2 linked regions of the Arabidopsis thaliana genome follow. The protein of the gene in region 1 binds, or shares a complex with, the protein of each later gene. Each region holds a gene or a part of one and is shown on either strand. Other genes may lie near its edges. The genes, in order: AT4G34600 and GSO1. A codon is read from its position in the direction of its gene.

What was found.
Region 2: the proteins of AT4G34600 (region 1) and GSO1 are in contact, whole or in part, in a crystal structure (PDB 6S6Q), measured with the Arabidopsis thaliana proteins. Residues at the interface, in NP_195186.1 of Arabidopsis thaliana: Asp63 (codon at 2,864), Tyr64 (codon at 2,867), Gly65 (codon at 2,870), His66 (codon at 2,873), Ser67 (codon at 2,876), Ser68 (codon at 2,879), Pro69 (codon at 2,882), Lys70 (codon at 2,885), Pro71 (codon at 2,888), Leu73 (codon at 2,894), Val74 (codon at 2,897), Arg75 (codon at 2,900), Pro76 (codon at 2,903), Pro77 (codon at 2,906), Phe78 (codon at 2,909), Lys79 (codon at 2,912), Leu80 (codon at 2,915), Pro82 (codon at 2,921), Asn83 (codon at 2,924); in NP_193747.2 of Arabidopsis thaliana: Phe127 (codon at 4,235), Ser128 (codon at 4,232), Arg149 (codon at 4,169), Ile150 (codon at 4,166), Gly151 (codon at 4,163), Asp152 (codon at 4,160), Ala173 (codon at 4,097), Leu174 (codon at 4,094), Ala175 (codon at 4,091), Ser176 (codon at 4,088), Ile197 (codon at 4,025), Gln199 (codon at 4,019), Thr221 (codon at 3,953), Ile243 (codon at 3,887), Asn245 (codon at 3,881), Tyr267 (codon at 3,815), Asp293 (codon at 3,737), Leu314 (codon at 3,674), Asp315 (codon at 3,671), Val317 (codon at 3,665), Glu339 (codon at 3,599), Gln340 (codon at 3,596), Val342 (codon at 3,590), Gln364 (codon at 3,524), Asp388 (codon at 3,452), Tyr390 (codon at 3,446), His392 (codon at 3,440), Gln411 (codon at 3,383), Trp412 (codon at 3,380), Val414 (codon at 3,374).

Annotation. Positions count from the first base shown.
Region 1 is NC_003075.7:16,527,030-16,530,786, forward strand, and holds AT4G34600 (uncharacterized protein), read left to right. Parts: upstream 1-2,028; 5' UTR 2,029-2,250; coding exon 2,251-2,335; intron 2,336-2,610; coding exon 2,611-2,657; coding exon of another isoform or gene 2,658-2,717; exon of another isoform or gene 2,718-2,809; coding exon 2,810-2,929; 3' UTR 2,930-3,199; downstream 3,200-3,757. Other genes in the region: BLH6 (BEL1-like homeodomain 6), read right to left, coding at 3,517-3,757. UniProt on the Arabidopsis thaliana protein: Peptide hormone required for contiguous Casparian strip diffusion barrier formation in roots via the regulation of CASPs protein expression and distribution in a GSO1-GSO2 signaling pathway.
Region 2 is NC_003075.7:10,881,677-10,888,832, reverse strand, and holds GSO1 (Leucine-rich repeat transmembrane protein kinase), read right to left. Parts: upstream 4,913-7,156; 5' UTR 4,614-4,912; coding exon 1,217-4,613; intron 1,141-1,216; coding exon 788-1,140; 3' UTR 563-787; downstream 1-562. Other genes in the region: AT4G20150 (excitatory amino acid transporter), read left to right, coding at 288-304; PTAC14 (plastid transcriptionally active 14), read right to left, coding at 7,136-7,156. UniProt on the Arabidopsis thaliana protein: Together with GSO2, receptor-like serine/threonine-kinase required during the development of the epidermal surface in embryos and cotyledons. In coordination with GSO2, regulates root growth through control of cell division and cell fate specification.

The sequences.
Region 1 (3,757 bases):
ATAAAATTTAGTTACCATTATTGTAGCTGGATAGTTAGATTCTCCACATTTATATAATTGTTTTTTTAAAAACTATTGGTTTGGAAGCCACCGATTTTCAAGGCCTAATTTAGAAACAACATTTTCTCCATGAACTCTTTTGATGCGTAGTCTTAATAGAAATCTTTCAGTATTATTGACAAGAAAAAATAAGATAAAAATAAATAAATAAAAAATAATGACTAACATAGATGTGAAAAGTCCTTATTAATATTCAAAACGCTCCAAAGGAATTGCACGACGAGACAAGAAAAGCAGGGGCGGCTAAGAGAGTCCTTTAGAAACCAATCTCATTCGAATAGTATTATGGTTTATTGAGAAAATTTATAATTTATGTACTAGGAAGTAAAAAGTCATAGCCGACGATACTCAAAACAGAATTTTCCTTCGAGTTCAAGTATTTTCTTGTTAATTAGTTCGGAATCGAAATTTCAATTCTAAGGTTTAAACTCTTTATTGTGAAAGTCACACACTCGTGTATTTAGACTCTAACATAGAGTCGAGAAACCATACATGTATAATGTATTAGTTGAATGGTTTCGTCTAAACTCTATGTTACAAGTAACAAGTCCATATAAATGAGTAGAACCCTACACCAAACTCTAATTCCTACTTCTTCGAAAGGATACCTAAAAGCCCGTGAAGTCTAGAAATCTTTGATTTTATCTACATGTATTAACTTTGTCAGCAACACACGTTCATACCGGATTTAAAGTTTTGGTGCAAGTTTCTATCGAGAGAGCTTTGCCCAACATCTTAATATAAGCCCAACCTTTTATAAATAAGCACAAAACAATTATAAAGCCTCACAAGTAAGTTAAAACATAGGCCCGAGGCAAATGTTAATGGTACAGTATGTTGTTGATTCTAATGTCTATTACGTGTACTAACTAACTACGAAGCCCATTCAAGAGTTTAACCGGCCCAACAGGTTTACTATGATTGTTTTGTATTAATATACAGCTTGACTCTCATTTTGTAATAGAAAAATATATAGCGGTGTTTAACAAGATAAATTATGCTATCTATAACATTCTAATCCAGAATTTGGTTCCATTTAAAAAATTAATTAGGCCGGTTTTCTTCTAAATGAGTTGTGGTTTCTTGTTAGGACGTGCACTCATACCAGCCTTAAAAAAATTAGTGACAAAACAAAACTGAAATTTTTAACAAAAATAAATAAATAAAACAAACAAAACTGAAATTAAGAATCGTGAGGGTACGGTCATCATCCACTACATCATCTTTACTCCTTTTTATGTGCAACCATAAAATAATACGTCGAACATTAATTATAGTGACGAATCAGTTCATTAAAGCAAAGTTCAAACAACTTTGTTCTCTTTCCATAATCTCAATTAATCAGTAATCCATTTAATTTATCATTGTGTGACGAATCAGTGCATCGAAGCAAAGTTTAAACAACTTTGTTCTCTTTTTTCCATAATCTCAATCAGCAATTCATTTAAGTTTAACACTTTTTAGCAAAAAATTATGAGAAAAATTTATGACTCTATCTTTCAGTAAGTATGTTATGATCGATTAATTTGAGTTAAACGAAGTAGTGTATCATATATAGTATATCACTATCAGATTTATAGAGGCCTAATCGTACATTATTCAGTTGGTTATAGCTAGCGATATCTCTTGATTGGAGAATAGGAATGGAACTTTGACCGATATTGAATACCTAGTCTTCAAGGATTCTACAATATAATTATGATGATTTGGTAAATTTAATTGGGTTATGATAATGAAGGCACTCATATTAAATAATCAGGTCACTAACCTCTTTAGACTTATTGTGGCCAACAATAGGAAAGTAGTCTCCTTTCAACTTTTTCTCCAATCCCACCATTTCCATGAACAATTTTTTTAATTAAAAGCATTAAGAGATATTTGCATTAATTAAATGATGGATAAATCAATTGTTGTTATGGTATTTTACTATTTTTATTTATTTGTAATTGATACAATCTAATTTTGAAACTCAAGCTAATCTCTATTTAAACCGGTTTTTATTGTTGCTTTTTATTTAAAGCATTCACGTTGGCTAAACAAATTAGTTAACTTTTAATCGTGTTATTTCTTTAGAGATTATATATAGTGATATACCAAACGCATTGGCTTCTCTTTTTTTTGATAAGGTACGTGTATCTAAATACACAAGATACAGCTTAAGGCACATCAAAAATTGAAAGGAGAAAGAAGATGGGTTTGTTGCCATTGGTGAAGAAACTAGGTTTCATCATCTTTCTTCTAGTTTCAGCTTCAGCGTTTGCTCTCTGTTCTGCAGGTTTGTTTCTTACTTTTTTTTCTCTCTCTCTATCTACATATTTATATTCCTTTGTTTGCAGCTTTTCTCTGCAACTTCATGTGCCTCCTACTGAGATCAGTCTTTTAGAAAGTAAGATAATAACATTAAGAGCTTGTGCTCTCCACATGTGTGTTAATGACGACTAAAGGAGAAAATTAACGACATAGTATGTTACGTTAGTGTTATTTGGATTGATTAATCTTGGATATAAAGAATAGACAAGCTTAAGTCTCTTTTTTTTTTCTTTTTTGTAGGCCGATCATCCATTTTAATCTATAGCCAAGAAGATGATCATCCCGAGGTATTCGTTTTAACTCCAAAAAAAGTTGCCAACTACCGTGCGTTGTATATCTTTACTTAGTAAAAAACCGAACAAATTGATAATCAAGATCGTAGTTATATGATTTCAAGAACAATTTTGTACGTTGGTGAATACATTCTATTTGTGGACAGGTAGTAGAAAGAAGAATACATGAGCATGAGAGAATTCTGAGAATGAATTCAAGAGACTATGGCCACTCCAGTCCTAAACCAAAGCTCGTGAGACCTCCTTTCAAGCTTATTCCCAACTGATCATGCATATCACCGATCGACTATATATAGATGCCAGACTTTCTGAGATGTATAATATATGTAAACCTAAATACTAACACTGCAATAAGTTTGAATGATAATCATATATATAAGTTTCAAGATATGTTTTCTAGTAAATTAATGATTAGATAGTGCTCTTTGCTATCATGCAGAATGTAAATTTGGTGAATAGTCATCATTAGATGAATATTACAATTTATCTGATAGAATCCTTATGATCAAAATTAATATTGAAATATTCGATTAATTCTGAAAACGGATACAGATTGTATATGTGCCAGACAAAAAAAAAGAGAAGAGAATTGGGAACGTTGCAGTTTCGTAGATGTGATAAGATAATAAGTCTACAGTGTAATGTCCATCTCTTGCAGATCTCAAATTGCATTTACCATATTCTGTTTGGTCCCAATGACCTAACCTCACTTATATTCTTGTACAAAAGAATGTTTACTTTATACAAATATTTCTAAAACTTTTTCTTCTGACCAACATTCTTCCACTACAGAATTGAGACTGATCATAAGTTCATCACACCTATGCTTTATTCCTCTCCATTGCTTACTTCTTCAAGCTACAAAATCATGTACCAATTGTGAAGAATTTATCCGGTTCTGGCGACTTCCGGGGTTTACATACTCCATTTCATCTCCCGGGATGGCATTCTCGTAAATATCCACCCCGGAAAAGTTGTTGTATGCCTCACTAGACATAGCCACAACATTGTCCTGTCCTTGAGAGTTTTGAAGCCCTAGAGTCAAGGACACATCACCACGACCCAATCTTGACGTATCAGCCACATGATATGTA
Region 2 (7,156 bases), 5.6 Mb from region 1:
AGTTAGATAGGTTGCAAGGTGCCAGTACATATAAACTAGATGCGAATTTGAAGGGAACCACATATGTAAACGTGTCTCGTTTTAGGTAGTAAGTTGCTAAGCTTTCGCAAACTCTTCTTTGATAAATCTTGTGACTTATGATAAGTTCAAGAATCTCTGTTTGTTTATCACCATTGGCTATTGCATATTTGCGAGGGACTGGCAGAATTTGGTGTATTACATTTCTTGTTTTGTTGGATTGAATAACTTGGAATATTCAAACTTTTCCTTCTGTTTTTGTAATGCAGATGAAGATCGGGATTAATTTTGCGTGATCTTTGAAGTCTTCAGAAAAGAAATATCTTCCCCTGAACTCATCTCAAGTGCTTGTTTTGTCTGATCTTTCCTGTATAAGCGTTTCTTCTCCTTCTCTTTGACTTCAGCTCTGGAGTTCTTTTCATTCACTGTTTTCGAATATGAACCTAAAGATTTGTGTTTTCACAATCTGAATCTGTTTGTATCTGGTTAATAATGGCGAAATGATAAACCTTGCAATCTACCTTCTGTTATGAGAATAGAGTTTCAGAATCAGAATCAGAATCATTCTGTTTAAAATTTGGTTTAAGTTGTATTACAAGTACATGCAAAAGACAATAAGTGTTTTTGTAGCAGATGGATCAAGTTCGAAACAATCTTTGTACTGAAAGAAACCATGTCATCTATACAAAGCAGAAACAGAATTTCAGAAGAAAAAATTTAAAGTTGGCAGTTTTCATGTCTCCAAAGACATTTGCAGGTGTCAGTTTTTTTACAGCTTCTTATAACCGGCCGTTCTGTTGTTGTAGACATGGAGAAGACTATCACAAGCTTGCCTAGAAGATGGTCTCTCTTGGGGAGAAGTTTTTGTGCACTGAAGTGCAATCTCAAGCACCTGACAAGCTGCGTCTTCCTCAAATGGCAGAAGTGGCTTAAGCTTTGGATCTATGAGTTTATCTCTCGCAGAACCCGCTACTTCAAGATGTGTTTCAACCCATCTCACCATGTCCATCTCTGCACCAAACACTGAGTCGGTTGGCATTTTCCCAGTCACAATCTCCATCAACACGATCCCCATACTGTAAACGTCGCTCTTCTCAGTCGCCTTCAACGAGTAAGCATACTCTAGACACACAATTTCAAATCTTTAGATATTAAAACAGTGAATATGCAAGAAAGCTAAGAAAGAGAAGATGAGTACCTGGAGCAATGTAGCCATAAGAGCATGCAAACCAGGTATTTGAATCTGTGTTGGTATCACAGTTCTCAGTTAAGACCTTGGCAAGACCGAAATCTCCTAAATGCGCTTCCATGTTTGAATCGAGGAGCACATTACTGGATTTGATATCACGGTGAACGATAGGAGGAACACAGTCATGATGAAGGTACTCTACTCCTTGAGCCAATCCTACTGCTATTCTCAATCTTGCTTCCCAGTCTAAAAGCTTCTTCTTTTTTTCGAGCACGGGTTTGTCCTCATGAAGCCAATCCCAGATGCTTCCGTTCTTCATGTACTCATATATCAACAGATTCAATCCTTCTGACTTGCTGCTGCAGTAACCCATTAGCTTAACCAGATGCCTATGCCTGATTCTTCCAAGCGTCTTAACTTCTCTGCTGAAGCTCTTGTTTGACATGAGATCATCCTTCCAGAGAATCTTTTTCACTGCAACAGTCTCACCATTTTCAAGCTCCGCCTTGTAAACCTTCCCAGAGCCTCCTGATCCAATCATGAACTCCTCGCTTAGATTATGTGTAGCTTCCATGATGTCCTCCCACCTGATATCGGACTTTGAAGCTCCGTTTCGAAAGAGAGGCTTGTGTGTAGCTTGTGAAGAAGAGCTTGACGATGTGTACGCAGTGCTTCCATGACCCACTTTCTTGAAGAAATCATGCCTTTGTTTGAAGAAGAGAGCGATTACAAGTATCATCAAGCCAATCGCCGTCAATGCTGAGATTGCTGATATTATCACAACTGATCTGGCACTAAGACCTTGTTGCTTGTTATTACTTCTAACTCTGTTGCAGCGACTTAGTGGGCTTCCACAAAGACCTGTGTTGCCTAAAAAGGAATCAGCTGGCCATCTTGAGAACTGTTTCTTGAGCTTCCCTCCGAGGTTATTGAAAGAAACATTGAGATATCCCAAACTCTTCATATCCCCAACCGAGCCAGGAACTTCCCCTGTAAGCTGATTGTGAGAAAGATCAAGTGTTTCCAGCTTTGATAATGTCCCAATTGTCGAAGGTATATCTCCAGTGAAGTTATTGTAGCTGAGGTCTAAAGCACTTTGAAGATCCTGAAGCTGTCCAATCTCAACTGGGATTTCTCCTGTTAAGCTGTTTCTTGATAACCGAAGCTCATACAGCTTGCTGAGCTTTCCCATAGCTTGAGGAAGTGAACCTGAAAACTGGTTCTTATCAAGGTTAAGGACATTGAGAGCTCCCAAGTTACCAATCTCTTGTGGAATCGACCCATTAAGCGAATTTCCATCAAGAGACAACACAAGCAGCTTTGTACAGTTGAACAGTTCAGTAGGTAAAGACTCAACAAACTGATTCGAAGAAAGCTTGAGCTCTCCTAACTGTGAAAGTTTTCCAAGCCATGGAGGTATAGGACCTGATAGAAAATTGTTATTGAGATCGATGTGTGTCAGTTTCTTGCACAAGACGAGCTGTAGCGGAATGGTTCCTGTGAGAGCGTTGCTTGACATATCTAACAAGGACAGCTCGCGGATTTTCCCCAACGTCCAAGGGATTTTTCCTGTCAATTGATTCTTGCCTAACCTGAGACGATCAAGATTTTGAGAGTTTCCTAGCTCCAGGGGGATTTCATCTTCAAACCCGTTGTTGGTGACATCGAATGAGAGATATGAGCTCGAACCACATAATGGATGAATCGTACCATTGAGCCTGTTGTGAGAGAGATTGATTCTGGTGAGGTTCCTCAGACTGATAAGTGAATCAGGAAGATTTCCTTGAAGAGAATTGTTGTAAAGCATCAACTGTTCCAAGCCCTTTAAGAACCCGAAGGATGAAGGAATTGATCCCGAGAGCTGATTATCCGCCAAATCCAAGATGTTCAGTTGATGACAGTTACCTAAACTGGCGGGAAGTCCACCCACAAGCTCGTTCTGTCTCAAGTGAAGCAAGTTAAGCTCTTTTAATCTTCCTATTGAAGGAGGTATCTCTCCTTCGAAATGATTCCCGAACATATCAATCATCTTCAAGCTTGTGCAGTTTCCAATCTCCTGTGGGATTTCCCCTGAGAAACGATTCTCATACAGAAACAGAACCTCTAATTTTCTGAGTGCGCTGATCTCCTTCGGTAACTTGCCTTCCAAGTTATTGTGATACAACACAAGCCACTGTAGATTAGTGAGGTTTGATATCGAAGGAGATAACGTACCCTCCAAGGTATTATTGTGGAGATAAAGATCTGTGAGTTCGACTAGCTCAAACAATGCTTCAGGGATCGAGCCAGCGAGAGAATTGTTCGACAAATCAAGCTGCTTAAGCGATTGACATTTGCTTAATTCCACAGGGATTTCACCAGAAAGCTGAGTTCCAGACAAAACCAGTTGCTCCAAGTTTGTGTTGTTAGAACAAATGCTCTTTGGTAATGAACCAGAGAGATGATTGTTTGCTAGAACCAAATCAAGAAGCTGACTCATGTTCCAGAATTCTTCAGGTATCTCTCCGGTAAGATTATTCGCCGATAAATCAAGAGTTTGAAGATTTCCCAGATCAGCCAAACTCTTGGGGATAAGACCTTGAAGTTGATTTGCCATCAAGCTAAGATACTGGAGTTGGCTCATTTCACCTAATTGACTCGGTATCTCTCCGGTGAGACTGTTGTTCGCCAGGTTGAGTATTTCGAGGTTTTCAAGGCGTCCAAGCTCCGCCGGTATCGTCCCGTTGAGCATGTTCTCCGCCGCAGTGAACACAGTGAGATCAGAGCAGTTTCCTAACTCAGCCGGAATCGGTCCTTCGAGATAGTTATCTTGCAATATCAACGACTGAACTCGGACGAGACGACCGAGCTGACTCGGTATAGGACCGGTGAGTCTACAAGAAGCCAGAGCAAGCATCTGGAGATTCACCAAGTTCCCTAACGTCTCCGGGATATCTCCAACAAGCTCATTGTCTCCGATCCTTAGCGACCGGATATTAACGAGGGAGCCGAGCTGGCTCGGAATCTCGCCGGTGAGTTGGTTAGAAAAGAGAAACAGAGACTCCAAGGAAGTAAGGTTGGAGAGAGCAGTTGGGATGGGACCAACTAGATTGTTGGAAGATAGATCAAGGTGGATTAGGTTGTCAAACCGGCCAAACCAAGGTGAAATTGAACCGGTTAATCCTAAACCGGTAAGGTTTAGAGCAATTACACGAAATAAACCGGTATTGTCGCATGTGACTCCGGTCCAAGAACAGTAGTTGATGTTATCAGAGTTCCATTGTCGGAGAGGATCGTCTTCTTGTGGATTCGTGACCAAAGATTTCTTCACCTCGAGAAGAGTCTGAAGATCGTTGTTGATGATACCCGGTTGACCTAAACCGGAAAAACAGAGGATGAAGAGGAGGAGAAGAACTAGTGGTTGCATGTTTTCTTCTTCGTCGTCTTATGGTTTGGTTTACTGAGGAAGAAGAATGGAGGTTTTATGGCATTTGTGTGATTCTTGTTGTAGAGAATGATGAAGAGGGAGAAAGATGATTGGTCATTAGAAACGGTGCATAGGGACTCTATCTCTGAGTTGGAGAAGAGTAAATGCAGAGAGAACAAAGTTTCTTTCTCTCTCTCTTTTTTGTGTTTCTTTTTTGCTATTTCACTGTTTTATTGAGAGATCTAGAGAGAGAGGAGAGAGGGGTCAAAGAGAGGTCAGAGGAGAGATGTGGGGAAATGGAATGGGAAGGCTCGTAGAATGAAAATGTTTCGGCTTTTAGCCTTTTATCAATCAATGGAGGGGCAAAGGTCAACGGTCGTACTATGATGTTCGTGTGTACATTTATTCGTCCGTGGAGACATGTTATATAATTAAAACAGTGCCTAAACTTTGACATAACATTTGGTCTTCTTAGGAAAGAAAAAAAAAAAAACATTTGGTCTTCTTTAGAAACCACAGAATATATAAATAAATAGTGGAGTAGTACACTTTACATTCACATCAAACTTGTAAAATTATAAGCTTATAATAAGTACATTCTATTTCGTTTGATCAATTAACAACTTATGACATTTAGATTCGTGGATGTTGTTCCACTATATTCTAATTAAATTCTGTATTGAAGTTCCGATCGATTCATATCTCTTGGACTCTAACGACTTGGAGTTAAGTTAGAAAAGATTTAGAGGATTCCACAAATGATAAATGATCCCAACAAGTTTTCTCATTTCATACTTCCATTATCTATTTATTATCTATCAAACACATGATTACTACTCTGAATGTATAGAGTGTCAACTCTACACGATTCCTTAATTTTTCTTTTTAGTGTCTTTGTGATACGCAATCATTTGATTTATCAATTTCGTGAGAAGTTAGAGTTCTTTGTTCTCCTATTTCTTTTCGACAAGTTTAGTTGTTTAATTTTATCAAAAAGAAAAGAAAAGTTTAGTTGTTTATTAGTAATAGACCTTTTATTAGTTATATAAAGGAAAAGTAACAATAATGAATAATAGAAAATAAAATGGTGATGCATGGCTTTGACCTTGGACAAGGAGAAAAGAGTGGTTGAGAAAATGACTTGGTTGAAGTATATATTTTTGGCTTTGGTTATGTCACAAAGTGTGTTAGCTTCTCATCACTTCAACCTTTTCACGACAAGGAGAGCAGTTGTGGTATGATCGTACATTAACATGGCATCATATGATTATGCCCTATATTTTATTACCAAGTCAAACATAATTCTTATTAAAATTTGCAAACATAATTTTTTCATCCATCTTTTTCTTTATTACCCAAATAAGTTCGGTGATACTTTCCCAATTTATATGTTCATCGAAGTAAAGAATCAACTCGTGAGTTTTGAATAATTTCGTGTGTTTTTTGCCTTCAAAAATTGAGGTTAATAATAGATATAATATGTTGTTGTCGATTCGGAATCTAGCTTGAATTTAATCACACCTATCTAATTATAGGAAAAAAGGAATAATACATCGAATAATATTGTCATTTTCATAAATTGTTATTATTATATAAATTTTGGTTGACTGTAATAACGCTAGATCGAATCAAGTTTACGTACAACAACTTGTTCGATAATTGATAATCTATAATTAAAAATGTTAATATTCTACTGAACGAGATTCTAAATCCAAAAGAATGAGACAAAGGAATTATCTTCGATCCACCAAAAAGATCAAGATGCTTATTTTTTTTTATTTTTTTTTGTCTATTGTTTGGTTGATTTATACTTTAATTAATCTTAAATTCAAAGGAATAATTTCATTATGCATGGCAAGAATTATGAAACGCATAGTGGTCTTACTTCAAAAATAAAATATTCAACATATTGAAGATAATTATTAAGAATCAAGTTAGTCAATGTAAAGTATCAAATAAGTAGCCAAAGGTAAGAAATAGATTGCTTATGGTTCTGTATAACTCAGAGTAGGTTTGTTTGGTTTGGACCGTAACTTTTTTTGAAAATAGTAATGTTAGACAAAGAGTAGAAGAAACGCAATATGATTTGATTGATTAGTGTAACCACAAGGTTAATAAATAGTATAAGTAATAATCAATTATTGAGACTAATCAACATTATAGTTCGGCGTAAGAGACACAATTACCCTAAAACATTTGAGACACTAATCATGCTTAGGGACTAAAAACATGAACATGAATTAATCAAAAGAGAAAAAAAAAACACAGATGATTCCAAAGCGTTTGTTGGCTAATCAAACTCATTAAAGCAGCCAAGAAAAGAAGAGGTTATGATTTGTTTGTGATTGCGATTAAAACAAACTAACACACTTAGTCTAACTGTTCCATACAAATACATAACCTTACACTAAACAAAAAAAAAAACAGGAACCTTTCAATTACATGGTGCAGTTTCTAAGTAGCTCAAGGGAGTGAGCACCAAGTATGAATCTCACTCAGCTCATAATTATTTTTTGCTTGAATCAATAGAGTAACCGTTCTTG